3 linked regions of the Neurospora crassa OR74A genome follow. The protein of the gene in region 1 interacts with the protein of each later gene in a pairwise test. Links are inferred from orthologs where the notes say so. Each region holds a gene or a part of one and is shown in the gene's direction. Other genes may lie near its edges. The genes, in order: NCU09610, NCU06396 and NCU06702.

Region 1 (3,752 bases):
TTGGCGGGTTTGGCGGGGGGTTTTGGAAGGAGTATGGGGAGTTGATGCCGAAGCAGGAACCGAAAGAGGAATGGGAGGATCGAATTGCCTTGTATGAGCTGTGAGTGTCGCGGTGATCTGACCTGCCTGCTGAGATGCTGTGAGGGGTGTGATTTGCTAATGGGGCTCGACAGGTACCACCATTTGAACCACTATGCGTTGTTTGGAGGCGGGTATCGCGGCGGCGCCATGTCCATTATGAAGAAGCTTATTGCAAAGTATGCGTAGCTGGGATATTCGACTTGGCTGGCGAATGGTCCTCAGAAACCGAACATGTGAAAGTCCGCATATCAACCTCGAGTATCAGGTACTCATGGCGCGTCCATGTGTCTTTGCAATACCGTGAAACCCAACATTATTGAAATGTCAAAATGTGTTGATGTAGGTGGGTATGGTCTGGCGCCAGTCGTCTGTTCAATGCTAGGATTGATGAAGAGCGCGTTGGTCCATTGTTTGATGCTCGGCCAAAGATATTCTAAGTATAGGGGCCTAAAGTAGACATGAGAAGCAACGTGGCCCTCGACTAACAGATTGAAGTGGAAGCCCAATGCGAAATCTGTTAGTGGTCTCGTGTGATAAATGGCCATTGTTGATCGCATTTCGCAAAGACGCCATCCATAACATGTTCTAGCTGATAACGAAATGAAGAGCGATTAGTTGTCGCTAAAGCTGGACCAGCTGGTCTCAAGACTCACATTCAACACGTGGAAATGTCAGGTCGAGACAAGTGAAACCCCTATAGCGTGATGTCTCTCTTTGTGAGTCCTCTCAAACTGACACTTTTTGACACGCCGGCATCCATCCGATCGATTGCATGTTCACATGGACCTCATCCGTCTCCCAGCGATAATTGTTAAGGATCGCTTGCCGTGCACAGACCATACATGTCACTGTCCAGGTGTTCAATGCATGTCATTGCAGCCGCCAAGAGGTGTCGTTCCCCTGTCAGCGAGTGACAGCAACGATCCACATCATCTTGTGAGAGCTCCATTCTGAGAAGCGACCAGACCATGCAAGCAACGAACCCACATCCAATCCATGACGGGCAGCTTGTAGGTTCCCCCTTTGGACACCCTTTGGGCCTCGATTCTCTGCTTGACAGTTGGCACTCGATACCACCCCCTCCTCCTCAGCCCGAAGCGTGTGGTCAACGACGACGGGACAGCAGCAGCAGCACTAGAAGCACCGCCAAGTCGGACCACACCCCTCCCCTCCCCTCCCCTCCCCCCTCTTCTTCTTCTTCTTCTTCTTCTTCTTTGCTGTAGTACAGCCAACTTTCTAATATCACCACCACCCATTCCTTTCTTCCGTCTTCTCCTTCCCCTTCTTCCTCTCTCTCAGTCTGTCTTGTTGCTACCTACCCGCCCTCTCCCCGTCGCGTCGTCCGTCCTCTTCTCCGCCACCCCAGCCAGACAACCAACCACGCGCCGCATCATACGAGACATCACGAAACCACCGCCATGAACGGCCACTTCGCCGCCGTCGACAACGGCAACGGGTCGTCGCCCGACAGCAACGCCCACAGCTTTGAACACGGTATCCAGGTCATCAACGAGGACAAGCAATACAACACCAACCTCAATGAGTACCTCAACGAGACACACGTTGCCGAGGCCGGCTTCAACTACCACCTCATCTCCGTCTTCGGCTCCCAGTCCACTGGCAAGTCAACCCTCCTGAACCACCTGTTCGGCACCCAGTTCAGCGTCATGTCCGAGCGAGAGCGTCGCCAGACTACAAAGGGCATATGGATGTCCAAGAACAAGAACGAGGGAAAGATGGCCGACAACATCCTGGTCATGGACGTCGAAGGCACCGATGGTCGCGAGCGTGGCGAGGACCAGGATTTCGAGCGCAAGAGTGCCCTCTTCGCCCTTGCTACGAGTGAGGTCTTGATCGTCAACATCTGGGAACACCAGGTTGGTCTGTACCAGGGCGCAAACATGGGCCTGCTCAAGACTGTTTTTGAGGTCAACATGCAGTTGTTCTTGAAGGATAAGCAGTGGGTTTCCTGTGATGCGCTCCTAACCGATGTTCACTTACTAACAGTTTAGAAACCAAACCCGCTCCCTCCTCTTCTTCGTTATCCGCGACCATATCGGCGTCACCCCTCTCGCAAACTTGCGCAACACCTTGATCCAGGATCTGACCCACATCTGGTCCTCCATCTCCAAGCCCGCCGGCCTCGAGAACTCCAAGATTGAGGACTACTTCGACTTTGCCTTTGCCGCCCTCCCGCACAAAATCCTGCAACCCGATAAGTTCATCTCCGAGGTTCAGAATCTCGGCTCCCGCTTTATTGCCGGCCACCGAAACAAGGACTCAGATGCCACCGACGACCAAGAACTCACCGGTGGCGTCTTCCTCCCCGAATACCATCGCCGTATCCCTGCCGACGGCCTCTCCATCTACGCCGAGGGCATCTGGGACCAGATCGTCTCCAACAAGGATCTCGACTTGCCCACGCAACAAGAACTTCTCGCGCAGTTCCGCTGTGACGAGATTGCGCGCGAGGTGCAAATCGCCTTTGACGCCGCCATTGCTCCCCTCGAAGAACAACAGGCCGAGTCCACCCGCGCCGGCAAGCCCGCCGTCCTTCCCAATCTCGGTCAAATCGGCGCCGAGGCCCGTGAGAAGTGCGTCAAGAACTTTGAGACTCAGGCCTCCCGCTACCACAAGGGCGTGTACACCACGAAGCGCGCCGAGCTCGAGGACAAAATCGACAACCGCCTCAAGGCTCTATACCAAGCCCATCTCACCGCCGCTCACAAGGCGGGCGTGACTGCCTTCTCCGAGGCCGTCGCCAACGCTGTCAAGGCAGGGCAAAAAGCGGGCGGTGCTTACGAGTTCGCCGAGATTGTCGAGAAGCAAAAGACCAAGACTCTTGAAATCTTCAAGAAGGAGGCGCAGTCCCTCGCCATCCCCGGAGTGGCCTGGTCCAACTTCAAGCCGCAGTACCTCATCTTTGAAAAGGAGCTCGACGAAGTCTCTGCGCGCTTGCGCAAGGAGGAGATGCGCCGCTTGGCGATTCGTGTAGAGCGGTGGGTCAAGTCCCGCCTAGGCGACGCGATTGGGCTGGAATTCAACAAGCTCGGGTCCGGTCGTGGTGGGTCTGGTGCTCCGGAGTCTGGTGAGAAACCCGCTACCGAGAAGGACATTTGGGATCGTGTATGGAAGGCCTTTATCAGCATTGTGGGTGAAGCCGAGAGCAGGTTTACCGATCGCGCCAAGAGCTTCGAAGCTAGCGACGATGAAGTCCAAGTCGGCCTCTGGCGCCTCCGCCGCAAGTCGTGGGTCGCGCTGCGCGAGAAGATCGAAGAAGAAGTAATGGAGTCCAACATTCTCATGAAGCTTCGCGAAAACTTCGAAGACAAGTTCCGCTACGACGAAGATGGAGTGCCACGCATTTGGCGGCCGTCGGATGACATTGAAGGGATTTACACGCGCGCGCGCGAGTCGACGCTCGGTCTCGTCCCGCTGCTATCCCGCTTCCGCCTGACATCCACCAGTGCCCCTCCGGATTTGATCGAGTTTGTCGGTCCCCAACCGCACGGCGTCGAGCCAGGTGATGAAGAGGACCTGACGCCGATTGGTGGCGTTGACGAGGACGAGGGTAAGTCCCTCGAGGAGGAGACGACGATTTTGAGCGAGCCCAAGAAGCAGGATTTGGTGGTGAGGTTTAAGAAGATGGCAGATGGAGTGTATGTTGAAGC
Region 2 (3,234 bases), on another chromosome or scaffold:
CTTGGAGGCCAGAGGTGCTCACACCGTGCTCAAATAGTGACTACCTAGGGAGCGCATTTTTTGGACCTGGGCTGGCTGCCTTGTCATTTGGCGCTTGTTGGCCATGGCGTGGGCATCTCGCACGCGCTACGTACGGGTCGGAGGGACATTGAAGCATCTACAAACTTGGATGGGATATTACAAGGAGGCGTTGAACATGACTCGGTTTCCAAGGCGTTGAGGGACAAGAAGGACCGATTGCAAGGCGTTTTCATTTTAAACAGGAACCAGGAAGGGAGCATTGTTGATGTGATGTTATTATTATTCTCACAAAGAATTAATCTAATCGCAAAAGAATGTGCGACCAACAAAGTCAAGTCCCAACTACGTACTCGCTGTCTTTCAACAGCAAGATACAATCGACACTCCGGCTTAATCGTGATCATTCGCTCTTTGCCCAAAAGCTCGAAAGCTAACCGACAGACCACCGAGAACGGACGGGAGAGAAACCGAACTCAGATTGCTCTAGCAAGAAGCTAGAGCCGTCGTGGCAACGTGAAGGGAAAGGAAATGAATAGTACCTACCGTAGCTGACCAAGACGCCCCTGATGATAGCAAAATCATGTAATCAAGCGCCCTGGTCCATCATTAAGACCATTACATGCTGACAAGCATATAATACGCGATCGAGGCGTGGTTTCGGAACAAAACTGCCATGTTCGCTGTTCTGAAACGCCTTCATCTCTGCGCGACAACTGGACGTAGAACAGAGAACGAAAAGGAAAATTTCCCGAAATTCGAGAAAAGATGCTTTTGCGGTTCGTTGGCCCCTCCAATCCTGATCCTCAGAACCAATCACAGCTGCAGAAAGCTAAGCCAAAGTGGATCTGTTCCTGCCCGCCCGTCGGCAGGCCCCCGAAGCCGCTAAGGTCCGATTGCTCTGCCGGCCGCGTCCCTGGCGCGGCGTTGATGCAAGCCCCTTGATCGCATCTTAGCACATCGTCGAACGAGACCGTTTTCGATCGCCTTTGCAACAACTAGACATAGTCAGCACTTTCACAAGTCAGCGTATTTACGCTCTTTACTATATACTACATTATCTTATTAATTCATCGGCAGTTATTTCCGCTTCTTCACTTCTTTTCGCGCTGCCTCGAACTCCCCATCTAGCTCTTGAGCTAGCTATCTTCCGCCCCGCCCAAAAAAGCTTCCGAGTCAACACCAGCAATATGCCTACAATGTGGTTATCCGACTCCCAAAGTGAGTTGGACCCCCAACCTGACTATGGCCTACGGCACGGACTGCGAGTATATGATACTAATCTCTGTTTTTTCTCTGTTTCTAGAAATTGGAGTCGCCTTTTGCTCTGGCGGTATGCATTCACCATCCCTAGTTCCCGAATCTCCCTCCTCAAATATTCCTTTCCGAACCTCTGTATAGCTCCTTGCCAGACCTACCTAGCAGCGATTATGTACGGGAGCTGGATCTCTTTGCGCATTAATGCGCCACCGGCCATGATTTGAAAGTTTTGGGCGCGCGAACGTTGCGCATCTGTCATGGGATCGGATCGAACATACACGCTTATATGTTCTTTTGGGGAAAAGAAGGGACCAAAATAAACTGACGGGACGAACTCTCCAACCAGGTGGCTTTTTCCTCATCGGCGGTGTCCTCCTCTTCTTTGACCGGGCCATGCTTGCCATGGGCAATGTATGTTTTGTTTTCTCACCTTATCTCCCTGTTGTCTATCTTCTTCTTCTTCTTCTTCTTCTCCTGCGTTTATGTACCTACTAACACTTCTGACACCCAAAAAGATTCTCTTCCTAATCGGCCTAACTATAATAATCGGTCCCCAAAAAACTTTCACCTTCTTCGCACGCAAGCAAAAGGCCAAAGGTACGGCGGCTTTTTTCTCCGGTCTGGCTTTGATTTTGATGCGCTGGCCTTTGATCGGCTTCTGCGTGGAGCTTTATGGGATCATGATCCTCTTTGGCGACTTCCTGGGAACGATAGCGGGTTTCGCGCGCAACATTCCTGTTATTGGACCTTATATCGGCACCGCGGTTGATCGGTCTGGTGTGGTAGCGAGGCAGAATGCGGATTTGCCTGTTTAAATGGAGGGATTGAGTGTTGAGGGGAAAAGGCGAGGGCGCCGTGGCATAGTGCAAACGTGCCGAACGAGGATATGGTCTGGGCCATGGCGCCGCTCTTCGAAAGCTCACGAATACTCGCTTTGCCGTTCGGTTGAATGACATCGGCGGGTCGGGCGCAAGACAGGTTCAGCGCTCGCGCTATGAAAGGGAGGGCAAAAGAAAGAATACGAGGCGAACGGGAACATGAACGAAGAAACGACGGTTGTGAAACGAAAAGGAGAGGGAACGCCTATGAAGGGTCTAATGCCCACGATCAACATGCACATTCACACAAACGGCGTTGGAGCGAACTTTGGGATACCCAAGTTGTAATATGAAGAGGGAAGTATCGGGCTTTCTTTTCATGCATAATTTTGAGAGGAAGAATCAAATACTATAGATGGTTCCGGGGTGGGGGGGGTGTTAAATTGTCTACAAAATCACGATACCATATAACCCCAATGATGGAACAACGGACGAGGAACGTTTTTCACCACCGGCAGCCTCGACTGACATGGAAAGGCAAATTCCGCCAAAGTGTGCTGTCAGTTCCAGAAAAAAAAAATTCCCAAGGGCCTATGCCTGTTTAAGGATATCATCCATCCAGTACACCAGTCCCCAATACTCCTTCACAGGAAAGTCTTTCGGTTTCTTTTCCGTCTTCCCATCTTTCGTCTTCCTTGTCTTCATCCCGTTTTCATTTGTTTCTTGTTCAGTGACTCTTAAGACATCCAATCATCTCATCCTTCTTCCCACTACCTCCCGACATGACTTAGTATCCGGCCTTGACGAGGTAATCGGCGAGCGCCTCGACGGTCTGTGTCGAGTTGCCGGCGACAGCGTTCTCGCCGTAGTGGGCGACGAGGATGGCCTGTGTTGTCTTGACGATGATGACGCCAGTCTTGCCCTATTTTTGGGGGGAAGAAAAACCATCAGTGAGCTTGAACATACGAGGCTTGGAAAGGGGATGCCTGGAGCAGCGCGGCCGACTAAAGTTCGGGCGTCTGAGGTTGAGACACGATAAGGGGATAGAGATAGTACGCACCTGGCGACCGTAGACGTGGCGACCCTCGATGTTGAAGGCAACGTAGCGCTGACCGGCAACGTGGAGACCCTCAGCGAA
Region 3 (3,752 bases), on another chromosome or scaffold:
CGACGTTCCACTGGAGGCTGCGGCAGGGAACTTAACCACTGCAAGTCAAAGGCAGCTAGCTGCTCCCCCGCACGTTCCATGCAGACCCGCTTGGGACCAAAATGCCGTCTGATTGGCCGTTTGCCTGTTCGAGACTGTTGTTGACTTTCCTTTTGTTGTTCGAGGAATTCGGGCAGTTGACGAACCAGAACACCTGCGCATTCCGCTCCCACTGAATTCCTTGATGTTTTGCCCATTCCTGGGCTACACACTAGAGTCTAGATGTGTGCCTGATCGACATACTATGCCTTTTCCGAACCAGTCACTCCAGACATCCGGTACACTACACCATGACGTTCCACCATGAATTACTGCCCTGGATGCCTGGCTGCGTTTCTGGTTGACAGGAGTTGTCATCCCGCCATAGGATCACAGAACAAACACTGTACTTCACTCCGTTGACGAGAGACTGCGCCAGCATTGACTTGGCAAGCATGTTCGCGTCTGACCGCTCGCAGAACGAGGGGAAACTGATCTCTCCCTCAGTGATATTGGTCATAGATACGTTGGAGAGATCAAACTGGTTGTTTTCCTGGTGAGCCATCTGGCAGAGGATTACACTTTTCTTTAGTAAATGTGAAGTGCGCTGCACATGCGGCGGCCGACACCCACCCGCATGAGGTGGAGCTGATTGCACGAAAACGCTAGTAGCGGTATCGCGGGGCTTCGAAAAGCTTCATGTTGGTCCATGTCATGAGTTCTGATACTCAACTTCAAACGTCCACAAGTTGTCATGGCCGCCTGTCTCAAAGATCAAAGCGCAAAGTGAGTAGAGCAGGCGAGGCAACCTCGAGAGAGTAACGCACTCTCCTTACTACCCAAATCTTCGAACCTCCATGGCCAATTGAAGATTGGACGGATACCGTGACAGTTTAGCCGCATTTGGCCATGGTAGATGTTTACAAGAAGCGGGAAGAAGCGACCAAAACGGTAAGCTGCTTGTGTGGATCCATGAAATGTTAAGAGAAAGTTATATCAGGATGATGATGATCTCAAAATGGAGAGAAAAACGAGCCGTTCGCAGCTTAGGCGAGGCACAGAAGGAGATGCATCAGGCCAATGAGAGACTGTTAGAATGTGCAACGGACAAAAAAGAAAAAGTTGAATGTTGATCCGACCCAGGCTCGATCTGGGGACCTTCAGTGTGTTAGACTGACGTGATAACCAACTACACCATCGGACCTGTTGATGACTTTAGCCAAAAGTCAATAAGTTTATCACCCGTACGCTCAAGCCATTCCTCGACCATATTCTCGTCTACCAATCCTGGTCAAACAGCTCCCGATGTGGCGTCACTGGGCTCTGGAACCAGTCAGATGCAGTTGATAACGGGAGGAAGCTTTGCGGCCCCACGGGCAGGGCAAGTTTCGGGTTGAGAACAGGATGATCCCCTTTTGAATGCACACGTATCAATCGTCATTGTTCGTTGTGCCCACAGCCCACAGCCCACTTCAACCCGTTCCCACACTCCAACTGCCATTTCCACGATAGCATCACCCCTAACCGCAAAAGGTCAGACGACACATTGCACTTCACAGCATCGTTACGGTGAATTCGAAAGCCAGGTCAGCAATTTTCTCTCAGCTTCCCGTCACCTCTCTGCCGGTGGTGCGGGTGTTCACCGAGCAGGCTGCGATTTTTAGGCCCAGCCCTCCCAGCTGCCCAACCCACTTTGTCACAGCTTCAGCTTCCCCGCCAGTTCCGACTCAGATTTTCCCCTGAACTTCAACTTTGCATCTTGCTGACGTCGAAACATCACAGCTAGCTCTAGATCGATAGACTTGCTTACCGCACCAAACACTCAAAATGTCTTCGCCTCAGGACCGCGCCCAGCAGTACATCGGCCAGCTCGATAAGGAGGTGCGTAAACCGCAGCCGGATCGCAGACATGTCGGCCAGGCCACGGCGTCGTTGGATTTTGCGTTGCTAACCTGCCTCAATAGCTGTCCAAGTACCCTACCCTCAACAACCTCGAGAAGACCACCGGCGTTCCCAAGGCTTATGCCGTCATCGGTCTCGTTGCTCTCTATTTCTTCCTGATCATCTTCAACCTCGGCGGCCAGCTCCTCACCAACCTCGCTGGCTTCGTCCTCCCCGGATACTACTCGCTCAATGCCCTCTTTACCGCTTCCAAGCAGGATGATACCCAGTGGCTCACTGTAAGTCGGGATATGCCTGATAAGGTCTTTGCCTATGGTGTCCATGCTAACCACCGCATTCACAGTACTGGGTTGTTTTCTCTCTCTTCACGTAAGCATTCCACTTTGGCTTTGCGTTCGATGTTGACTTGGTGCGCTTAATATCTAACCACGCGGCTATAGCGTCATTGAGAGCTTGATCAGCGTCGTCTACTGGTTCCCCTTCTACTTCACCTTCAAGTTTGTTTTCCTCCTCTGGCTCTCTCTTCCTACCTTCAAGTAAGTGGTTTCCCGCCTCTATCAGACTTTCAAGAAGACAAGCTTATATGTCAACAGGGGCGCCGAGACCATCTTCCGCTCTTTCCTCGCCCCCACCCTTGGCCGTTACTTCCAAAATGGCTCCACCGCCAGCGGCCTCCGCGCCAAGGCTGACGCCGTCCACACTGACTAAGCGTCTTATGGGCAACTGCCGGGCCTCTTCCGCTCGTTACAAAGTGTGCCGCTTTGAATGAGGCCCGAGGATACACAGGCAGATAGATGCACGGCCATCAAGTCTTTGCGCTGGACTTGTTGGCAACCATTCACGCGCGTGCAAGATTATCACAACAAAATCGGGGTAGAGGGATAGTTTGTTAACTGGAAATGTTGGAGATATGAGGTGGTTATAAGAGGACATGTGGTTACAGAAGATGGTGGCAGGATGATTGAGCCTGATGCGTCTAGAGAAGTAGGGACATATTTGGTATCTAACGATTGAATAAGTGGCAGTAATGAAGCATTCCTTGCATTGGGGTTGCTATCACTGAAACACTGAGATGTGTTCGACGTGAAAGGCCCATAGCTGGCCATCGTGTAGACGAAGCAATGGGGCACACCACATGCTTGCAATGTATGTCTGCTGGCCAGGACAGCCCAGGAAGGGTTTTGTTGACATCTAGACGACGTATAGAAAGCATAACCGCGCCACCTCAATTTTCTCTTCGCCGATGTGAGCAATCGATATCTCTTCATATGACTACAAGTACCGTATGCGGAAGGCCAACGACACTGCTGTTTTCCGTGATTCAGAAATCCACTGGAAGCCATCAATTTGGATGGCTGCTGCCCGTAAAACTACAGCTCGACAGGATGTACAACACTATCTAGAGGTAGGTATCAGATGGCTCGAGCTTTGAGCTCTGTTAAGCAGGTGCAAAACCTAGAGGTACACAGTAATCGGCATACGCTCCCCTCTCCCTACCCTCAGCGTACCACAATACCTTTAACGGTACTTGACACTAACAACCGACCTACTAGTTCCAGTGGTAGCCACCTGCCAAAAGTTGCCCAGGCCGGGCAGGGCAGTTGCTGACCACAGCAATCAAGAACATCCACTGATATTCTGTCTTGACGACCTCGAGCGCGCATGCTTCAGCTCGTTTCGAGGTCGCGGGTGAAATTTGAAACCCAGGGGAAACCATAATTGCCGACCTCAAACATTCGTTAATTGTACCTAGGTATCAGCGCTGGCATCGAAAAGATTGGAAAAGGCAGAAACGGCCTGGGCGCGTTCATATTCCAAGAAACCACCTCCGC

Evidence for each region.
Region 2: the proteins of NCU09610 (region 1) and NCU06396 interact in a protein complementation assay, tested with the Saccharomyces cerevisiae proteins (2 studies listed by BioGRID). The link is inferred for Neurospora crassa OR74A from reciprocal best matches to the Saccharomyces cerevisiae genes SEY1 and GOT1.
Region 3: the proteins of NCU09610 (region 1) and NCU06702 interact in binary tests that used the Saccharomyces cerevisiae proteins (3 or more experiments, as listed by UniProt). The link is inferred for Neurospora crassa OR74A from reciprocal best matches to the Saccharomyces cerevisiae genes SEY1 and YOP1.

What each region holds. Positions count from the first base shown.
Region 1 is NC_026502.1:58,443-62,194, forward strand, and holds the start of NCU09610 (sey-1), read left to right. Parts: upstream 1-1,052; 5' UTR 1,053-1,499; coding exon 1,500-2,041; intron 2,042-2,093; coding exon 2,094-3,752. Other genes in the region: NCU09611 (fructosamine-3-kinase), read left to right, coding at 1-100, 174-267. UniProt on the Saccharomyces cerevisiae protein: Cooperates with the reticulon proteins RTN1 and RTN2 and the tubule-shaping DP1 family protein YOP1 to generate and maintain the structure of the tubular endoplasmic reticulum network. Has GTPase activity, which is required for its function in ER organization.
Region 2 is NC_026504.1:2,648,852-2,652,085, reverse strand, and holds NCU06396 (Got1 family protein), read left to right. Parts: upstream 1-964; 5' UTR 965-1,208; coding exon 1,209-1,239; intron 1,240-1,324; coding exon 1,325-1,351; intron 1,352-1,624; coding exon 1,625-1,689; intron 1,690-1,793; coding exon 1,794-2,093; 3' UTR 2,094-2,724; downstream 2,725-3,234. Other genes in the region: NCU06395 (hypothetical protein), read left to right, coding at 1-37; NCU06397 (profilin), read right to left, coding at 2,884-3,018, 3,157-3,234.
Region 3 is NC_026505.1:4,330,731-4,334,482, forward strand, and holds NCU06702 (yop-1), read left to right. Parts: upstream 1-1,426; 5' UTR 1,427-1,604; intron 1,605-1,800; 5' UTR 1,801-1,845; coding exon 1,846-1,899; intron 1,900-1,982; coding exon 1,983-2,198; intron 2,199-2,263; coding exon 2,264-2,289; intron 2,290-2,360; coding exon 2,361-2,456; intron 2,457-2,513; coding exon 2,514-2,628; 3' UTR 2,629-3,163; downstream 3,164-3,752. UniProt on the Saccharomyces cerevisiae protein: Required to generate and maintain the structure of the tubular endoplasmic reticulum network and the vacuole. Induces high curvature in membranes and causes membrane tubule formation. Involved in membrane/vesicle trafficking.